2 linked regions of the Caenorhabditis elegans genome follow. The protein of the gene in region 1 purifies or fractionates together with the protein of each later gene. This does not show direct contact. Each region holds a gene or a part of one and is shown on either strand. Other genes may lie near its edges.

What was found.
Region 2: the proteins of golg-2 (region 1) and F29G6.1 fractionate together in Caenorhabditis elegans (co-fractionation; one large-scale study listed by BioGRID). This does not show direct contact.

Annotation. Positions count from the first base shown.
Region 1 is NC_003280.10:5,038,343-5,042,273, forward strand, and holds the start of golg-2 (Golgin subfamily A conserved domain-containing protein), read right to left. Parts: upstream 1,750-3,931; 5' UTR 1,693-1,749; coding exon 1,636-1,692; intron 1,581-1,635; coding exon 1,389-1,580; intron 1,343-1,388; coding exon 1,268-1,342; intron 1,182-1,267; coding exon 1,086-1,181; intron 1,037-1,085; coding exon 68-1,036; intron 12-67; coding exon 1-11. Other genes in the region: F33G12.7 (uncharacterized protein), read right to left, coding at 1,939-2,036, 2,087-2,174, 2,221-2,337.
Region 2 is NC_003284.9:11,500,004-11,503,934, forward strand, and holds the start of F29G6.1 (Kazal-like domain-containing protein), read left to right. Parts: upstream 1-2,263; 5' UTR 2,264-2,458; coding exon 2,459-2,549; intron 2,550-2,922; coding exon 2,923-3,039; intron 3,040-3,097; coding exon 3,098-3,178; intron 3,179-3,910; coding exon 3,911-3,931.

The sequences.
Region 1 (3,931 bases):
GCTTTTTCGTTCTGTAAATTCGAAAATTTGAAAAATCAGGGAAAAATATTGAAAATTGTAAATCTACCTGTAGTTGCTCTGAAAGAGACAACAAATCAGCTCCGTTTGCAGTTGACTCTAACGTTCGTTCTTCCAAAAGTCGATATTTCATTTCAAGTTCTGCCAATGACTGTTCTCTTTCGAAAATAACTTTGTCTTTTTCTAGAATTTCTTCTTCTCTGCGTTTCTGATCATCCTCACTTCTTCGTTCCCACTTCCCTCTTTCAACGAAACACGCTTCACGAATCCGTCTTGCTACATCTTCTTCTGTGATAGTTGGAATTTCATCATGCCTCTCAGAAACATCCATATTCATTTGAAGCTTCTGCAGTTCAGATTGAGCAATTTCGAGTTGATTTTCGAGATGTTCAACTTGATCGTTTGAAGAAAATTTTTGATTATGCAAATGCTCGATTTCTAAAGCCATCTCTGCTTGCTTTTGTTGAAGTGCATACTCTCGATCAGCATAGTGAGCTTTTAATGTCGCAGATTCGACGAGAAGACGTGATTTTTCAGCTTTAACGTTCTCCAGCTCACGTTGCAAGTTTTCATAATTCGTATTCTCATTCGGAATCCCTCCCGGCGGTCCTGTGGCTCCAAGTTGTTTCAAATAAAGATCTTTCATTTGAATGTCTTTCATGAGCTGACTGATGCGATTTTCTTGAGCCGCCGTTTCTTTTATCATACTTTTCACACGTGCTTGTGCTTCACTTCTCTCGTGTTGAACATTTAGCAGGTTAGCTTGCATTGATGCAACTTCTCGTCGAGCTCCTTCTAGCTCTTGATGACGTGCAGTTAATAGGGAATCTTTTTGTGCAATTGCTTCATTGAGTTTTCGAATTTCGTTTGACGAAAGTCCAGATGATGTTGAATTGCTCATTTGGTTGGCAATGTTCTCTGCAGCAGCCAGCTTGTGTCGAAGTTTTTCGATTTGCTTGTTTGCCTGACGAAGATCACTTTGAGACGAAACTTTCTCTTCAACCATTGCAGACAATGCCTGAATACTCCATCATTAAATTAAAATAAATAAAACGAGTAATCCTTACATTTTGGAGTTGGACAATTTGATTTTCTGTATCCACATGTATTCCATTTGCATTGACTTGTGAATAAGCGGAATGAAGTTGGGAGTAATGGGCACACTAAAATGATTTTTTTTTTAATAAAATCATTATTCATATAATTAACGAATTAGTTTTTGTATTTGTCAATTTCTCATTATCCTTACCAATTCGTCATGCTGGGTCTTCAATTGTGTATATGCCTGATACCATTCGTTTCCGTTCGGTTGAAATGGTGAAGCCTGAAGAAAACATTTACTCATTTAACGATGTTATCGATTTTCTCACATCCAATCCATTTCTTGCATTCAAACTTTGTGCAGAAGAAGATGAGTGTGGAATTTGAAGCGCTGTCGAATCTTCACTGACAACGCTGCTCCGTCCATTTAAACCTGCTCCAGCACCCGGCTCTGATGAAATGATACTTGATGCAGGAGAATTACGTCCATCGAGTCTTTGACGTGCTTCAAAGTCTTTCAGCTGTAAAATTTACTCTATAAACTTTGTTTTAATAAAGTTTCCTCACGATTCTCACCTTTTTCCTGGCCGCTGCCAGCATTTCAGCTTTGGCAGGTGCAGCGGCATCGACCATATCACTGATTAATCCAGCTTTACGCCGAAAAACAGTAAAATCTATCGATTTTAAAAGCTGAAAATGAAAAAAGACGTGGAAATTAGTGGTTGGACGCAAACACCGCAATTGACGACATAGCGCAGACAACAAAGCGAGTTCGCAATGAAAGCAGCAGAAATTCACACAAAAAAGAAAAAATAATAGGTTTATGTACAAATAACTAACGAAACTTTGGAAATAAATGCTAAAAAACAACCGAGCAAATTAGAAAACTGGAGGCTTGTGATCAGATGAGACAGGCGAATCGGTTTGCCCCTTGGTGAGCCAGGCAAGAGGTTCTCGTGTGAACGTGCGGTATGCTTCTAGAATTAAGTAGTTGAAGATAACATTTTAATTGAGAATATCAACTCACTAGCCCACTTTGAATCAGGATTGATCTCATCTTGGAAGTAGGCATAAGAAAATATCAGCATGCCTACTCCAAATGCGATTAGGGAGTTCTGGAAAATACTTAATTCGTTTTTAAAATTGATTATCAAAATAGACCTCTCTAAAAGAAAGCTTCTTTCCTCCTTTAGGTAACTGATTTTCCGTGATTTCCTTCCATTCGGCCTGCCCGTCTTTTCTTCTGATTAAAACACGCAAAATCCGAGTCAATCTCATCTGGAACAAAATCTGTTTTATTTTCTGCCTTTTTATTTGTTTTAAAAATTGGAAACGAAAAGGACAAAGCGAGAAGTCAAAGTCTTCCAGTAATTTGATATTTTAGAAGGAATTGAATTGGTCATGGAATTCCGGAAGGGGACAAAATATTTTTAAACGGACATAGGAAATGGGGAATTTTATGAAGCAAAATATATGTTATATAATCGAATGTATTAAATTTGAAAAAAATGTGAAGAAAATTAATAAAAAAATACTAGGAAAAAAAATATCTTCAAAAATTTTTGATGAAAACGCGCCCCATTGGCACTTACTAGAGACACAATACGCAGGAAAACGAAATTTATGAGTACATAGAAGTGAATATTGGAAAATGTTCTTCAAAACTTTTCATGACAGTGTTAAACTGAAAATTAAAAAGAATGGTGATCATAGTAGCAACGAATTCATATGAGATATATGTAAAATATTTAAAAATGAAGGATAAATGAGGAATATATAATTCCCGAGTGTGGAGGGGTACTGTAGGAGAACATAAACAAGCCTATTATCTCTGTATACTGTAAAGCATTAGAATACACAAGCAAATTTGAAGATTATATTTTGGTTATTCGCTCAGTTTTTAAAAATATTTGGAAAAACACTGATACGAGTTTCCGAAATTTTTGAAGACCAATTGTTCAGTACCTAGAAACCTTTCGGAAAAATAATCAATGTCATTACTGTAGTTCTCTGAAAAAATGTGTTATCTGAAACTGTCACTTGCATATAAAATACGACCTTCCTCCAAATCACGCTCTGAGCACAATCGATCTTTCTACTCCAGCTGTGTACATGGACGGACATAAAGGACAGCCGTCAGTGTCACTTCCGCGCCACTTTTTTCAAATGTTTTATGCAAGTTTTTGGTTTAGTTTTGTTTCGAATTTATTCCCAATTGAATTGAATTCGTGACTGCAGAAGAAAATCGAATCGAATCTCCTTTTTAGCGACTCGGATATACCCTGAATTTTTTTTGGAGTACTGTACTATAAACTTTCTCTCCACTTCAGCAATATTTATAATATCCTATAGGAGAACGGCTACTTTCTCGGAACAAAAATATTTCTACAAAACTATTTTTTAATTTTTGCGCAAATGAATTAAGAATTCTCCTTTGGCGGCTGCGGTTATATATTAATTCCAAACTTGTATAGAAAACACACGAAGTGAGGTAAAACCTATTATTATTCAGTTTTTCACTCAAAAATACAGTCCTTGATCTTGCTACGACCGAAATATGTCCGTCGAGTACACGGTAAAGTAGTTTGCGCCTCTAAGGAGTACAGTAACCAACTATGGGTTACTGTAAGACTTATAGGCGCATACATTTTTAACAGATTCAATTTGAGAACATTTAAATAGTTCGTGGCGAGGCCAAATATCGTAATCTTCGTAAAAATCGGTAAAATTCACGGATTCATATTGGCTAATGTGGTAATTTCAATTATTCAAGAAACTTTCTAAATAGGAAGGAAATCACTGAAAAGTTTTAAAAAAAATTACAGTGACTGCTCAATTTACTGGATACACTTACACCTGCAATAGAGTTTTT
Region 2 (3,931 bases), on another chromosome or scaffold:
AAGAACTAATATGGTTATCAAGTGATTGCACATGGCACCACGACGACAGGCGTGTATAACGATGGTTTTTTGATAATTCTGAATATTATTCGAATGAATAAAGATTATGAGCAAAAGTAAACGTGGGAATTTACTTCACCTTTAGATATTATTGCTCAAAGCAACATTTACAACAATGAAATGAATGAAAATATTTGGCTTAAAACATTAAGTCTGTTTGGAAATAACAACAGTGTAGTTCGGTCTACTGGCTTTACGTTTTACTTTGAATTAGACTATTATCATTGTTGGGAATGTTTACTTGTTGCTTGTGATTTTAAAAACGGTTCAGTTTTCAAGTAATCAGATCGATCTCGGAAACCCTGAAATGCAGATTTGTCATGGATATGTATCAAAACGAATGCTATGTGGTTAATATGTTGTACTAATTCGGTTAATATATAAACTTGGTTGTAATAATTCTAAACGCTCTTCGTGCATACTTAGATGATTTTTTGAGATCGTAGCATTTTAATTGACTTTTGAACAGATTGTAGTTGTTTTTTTATAAATTTCAAAAATTTTGTAGAAAGTATTAAATAGTGTAGGGCAGAGAAAGAATGTTATGAAAAAGATTGTTTTATATTTCTTTGTGTTTTATACTAAAATTTGCATAATCACAGTGTTCCTCGATATGTTTGTGCAATTATGATAGTTCGCTTTTGATCGCATACCGACTCGTTGGAAATATGTAGTTTCCTGATATGATTCAATTTCTTATCAGACCTATCAATTTAAAATTGCCAACAAATTAATTTACGTAAGGAGTACACACCCAAAATGGAACTCAAGTCAAATTTTGTAGCAATGTTTTGAAACAATTTTGTAAAAAAATGCTTATTAGAAACATTGTCTAAAAATATTTAAAAATTATTTGGCTAAAACTAAATATTTTCCGCTCAGGCCGACTAACATCAACCGCACCATGGAAAGAATCAAATATCTTTGTTTATAAGATATAATTTGTGTACCTTCAACTACATATGAACACACCCATGTTCGAAAATGATTACATTACTGCTGGCACTAAATATCTGCAAATGCAATTTTTCAATTATTTCTGAATCAGTAATAGTGATTTCATCAGGTCAAGTGAGTGTCGTCTGTGAAACTATTGAGATGAGTAAAAGAAAATTTAAATCTTACTATGATAACGAGGATTATGTTCCGGAACTCAATGAACTTAACTTAACTGAACGTTAATGAACTGTTTTGAAGATTGCACTTAAACTGTACTGAATACAGTTGCTCGTTTCTTTAAACTAATCTTCCGATTAAAATAGTTTTGAACTCTTGAATAACATACCGTATTTCCTCTATTAGTCTTGCATGCGAAAATAATTTTCAATCGTCACATAGGGGTGCAAGACTAATAGAGGAAATACGGTAATAGCGTAACAAGCATAACAAATGATTGAAAAATTGGATTTTTGGCTAAAACTACTCCTGTAGAGCCGAAAGTATCGAATATCGTACTAAAACTGGTCAAATCATTTTGAAATGTTTATATTAACAGACAAAAACGACAAAGAATGAGTTTGTACCAACCTTTGTAAAAAGAAAAGCACAGTCCCCCACAGTGTTTAAACATAAATGGTTTAGAAATGTGAACAAAATCATTTCCAATTGTTTTTTCCACATTTTTAAAATATTTTCAGTCAAAAACGTGTTTGCGTCGCTTTTCGACTACAAAAAAACAATGTTTTAAACGCTTTTGAGAACTTTTACTATAATATTTTCTAATTTTAACACCATTGTAGTAAGCTTCGATAACTTCTCTACTGACGCTACTTCACCTTAGTTGAGCCCAAAAGTACCTATGCTTCCAATAAAGCATAGCAATGCTGATATCATAGTGATTATCAGTTTTTGATTTTCTGAACAACTTTGCAAAGCTTGTTGAGACCACACATAATATTTTTACACATTTACAATGGGCATCAAGTTGTTTCATTAAATTCGCATCGTTATCACACTTACACCGCAACGGAAGCTGATATGGATCTGTAGCAAGTTCAACTAACAAATTATCATCTTAAGTGTCACTTTTCAAAATTTCCGTAGCTAGTGTAATCCCATCGAATCAGCTGTTCGATCTTTCAATTAAAGCTCGTTGCTATCCTTTCCCTTTTACGCACCCGTCAACCTCTCATTTTCTCGACGTAAGACCAAAAAAAAATGATGGGAGGAGTTACTGACGATGAGTAAAGAGAACTTGCCTTTTCGCAAGTTGACGGCCTCCAGTGACGGCGCCCGCATTTGACGTTACCCCTTGTTTGCAAAGTCTACGGAATCCTTCCGTGTCTTAAGAAGTACTTCCATACGGTTTCACACATCTGTTTTTGTGATTTATCCCATTGGGTTCTTAATCACTGATCATCTCCCTCAATCGTCTTCATGTGGAACACCGCCAACCAGCATGCTTATCCGTAGAAACGTGTTTCTTTCTATCTTATTTCTCCTAATAATTGTTATTGATAGCAGGTGTGAAGAAGAAGAGAATCAAAAAGGTATACATAATTAACAATTGGCCACGAATAAAAATTTTTTAAAAATTATCTTAGTTAGTTCATTTATCTTTTTCCTTACAAAAGTCTTACTTCCTTCCTCGTTTCCTACATCCATTTACCTACTTGTGTGTTCTTACCACTTTCTGATATTCTTTTTGAAGGTTATTTTTCTGTTCAACAGGTCTAGCACAGAAAAACGTGTGATAGATATGAAGAAGAAGTCAAAGATGAGACAAGTGTGAACATCTTTATCCGGATGTCTTCTTTTTATTCCTTTTGGTGGCTAATGGCTAGAGTAATGTGTTGAATGACAGATATGATGTTTATGAGTGAAAATACATGCAAGAGAAAATGCTAATTTTGCTTTTTACAGGATTCTCGCCACCACCGGATTGCGACTGTCCTAGCGTGATTCGTCCTGTTTGCGGGACCGACAACGTTACTTACAACAACTTGTGCTTTTTGCGATGTGTTCAACGCACAAACGAAGGTACTCTTTGTTTTTTAGATATGACCCCTATGTTACGATTAATGACTTATTTTCACAGATCTTCTTTTCTTTTACAACGGCACCTGCTGCGACAAAAAGGAGTGTGAGAAAGTAGGAACGCCGATATGTGACAACTTCGGTTAGTGTTTGAGAATTAGATTGGAAAAAAAATCATTTGCACTCGTTCAAATAATATACATATTAGAAAAAAGTGTGTAACGTCTAGAACTAATCGCATTATAACAGAAGTTGTTGAACTTTCAGAATTTTAATTAATTTTGATAAAAATATATTGGTTTCATTTTCCATTCAGTTGTGAAGTATATATAACGTAATTGGGGTTAAAACAATGACATTCTGAAAAAAAAAACGTACGTGGAGTGCATAAAAAACTGATCCTAATAATATTTCTCAAAAAAAAGTTTTTTATTAAATAAAAACTTGCAAACGGTACGCTAGTTTAAAAATCGAATATGTTCACGGAGCATCCGATTAAAAATATTCAAACCTCTTTTTTAATGTCAATATTTGTTCCTTTTTAAAATTGAAAATTTTATTAATGTTCTAGATGGCAGAACTAAACTATAAAAACTCATTGTGATAAACTTAGTGATTGTAACAAATAAATCAATCTTTATAATTTTATTAATGAAATATTTAAAATACTTTCGAACACGAAAGAAGTTTTATAATGTTTCAACATTTTGACAAGAATTTTATACATAATATTTCTGAAAACAAACAAAATTATTCTACTGAATACTTTATTTCGAAAGTTTAAAATAACTTCTCACATGAAAGAAGAAGTTTCCAAAAATTATTGTTTACCCTGTAGTTTCTAAATATTTTCACAGAAGATTTTAATTTTTAGGAGAAACACATATCAATGATT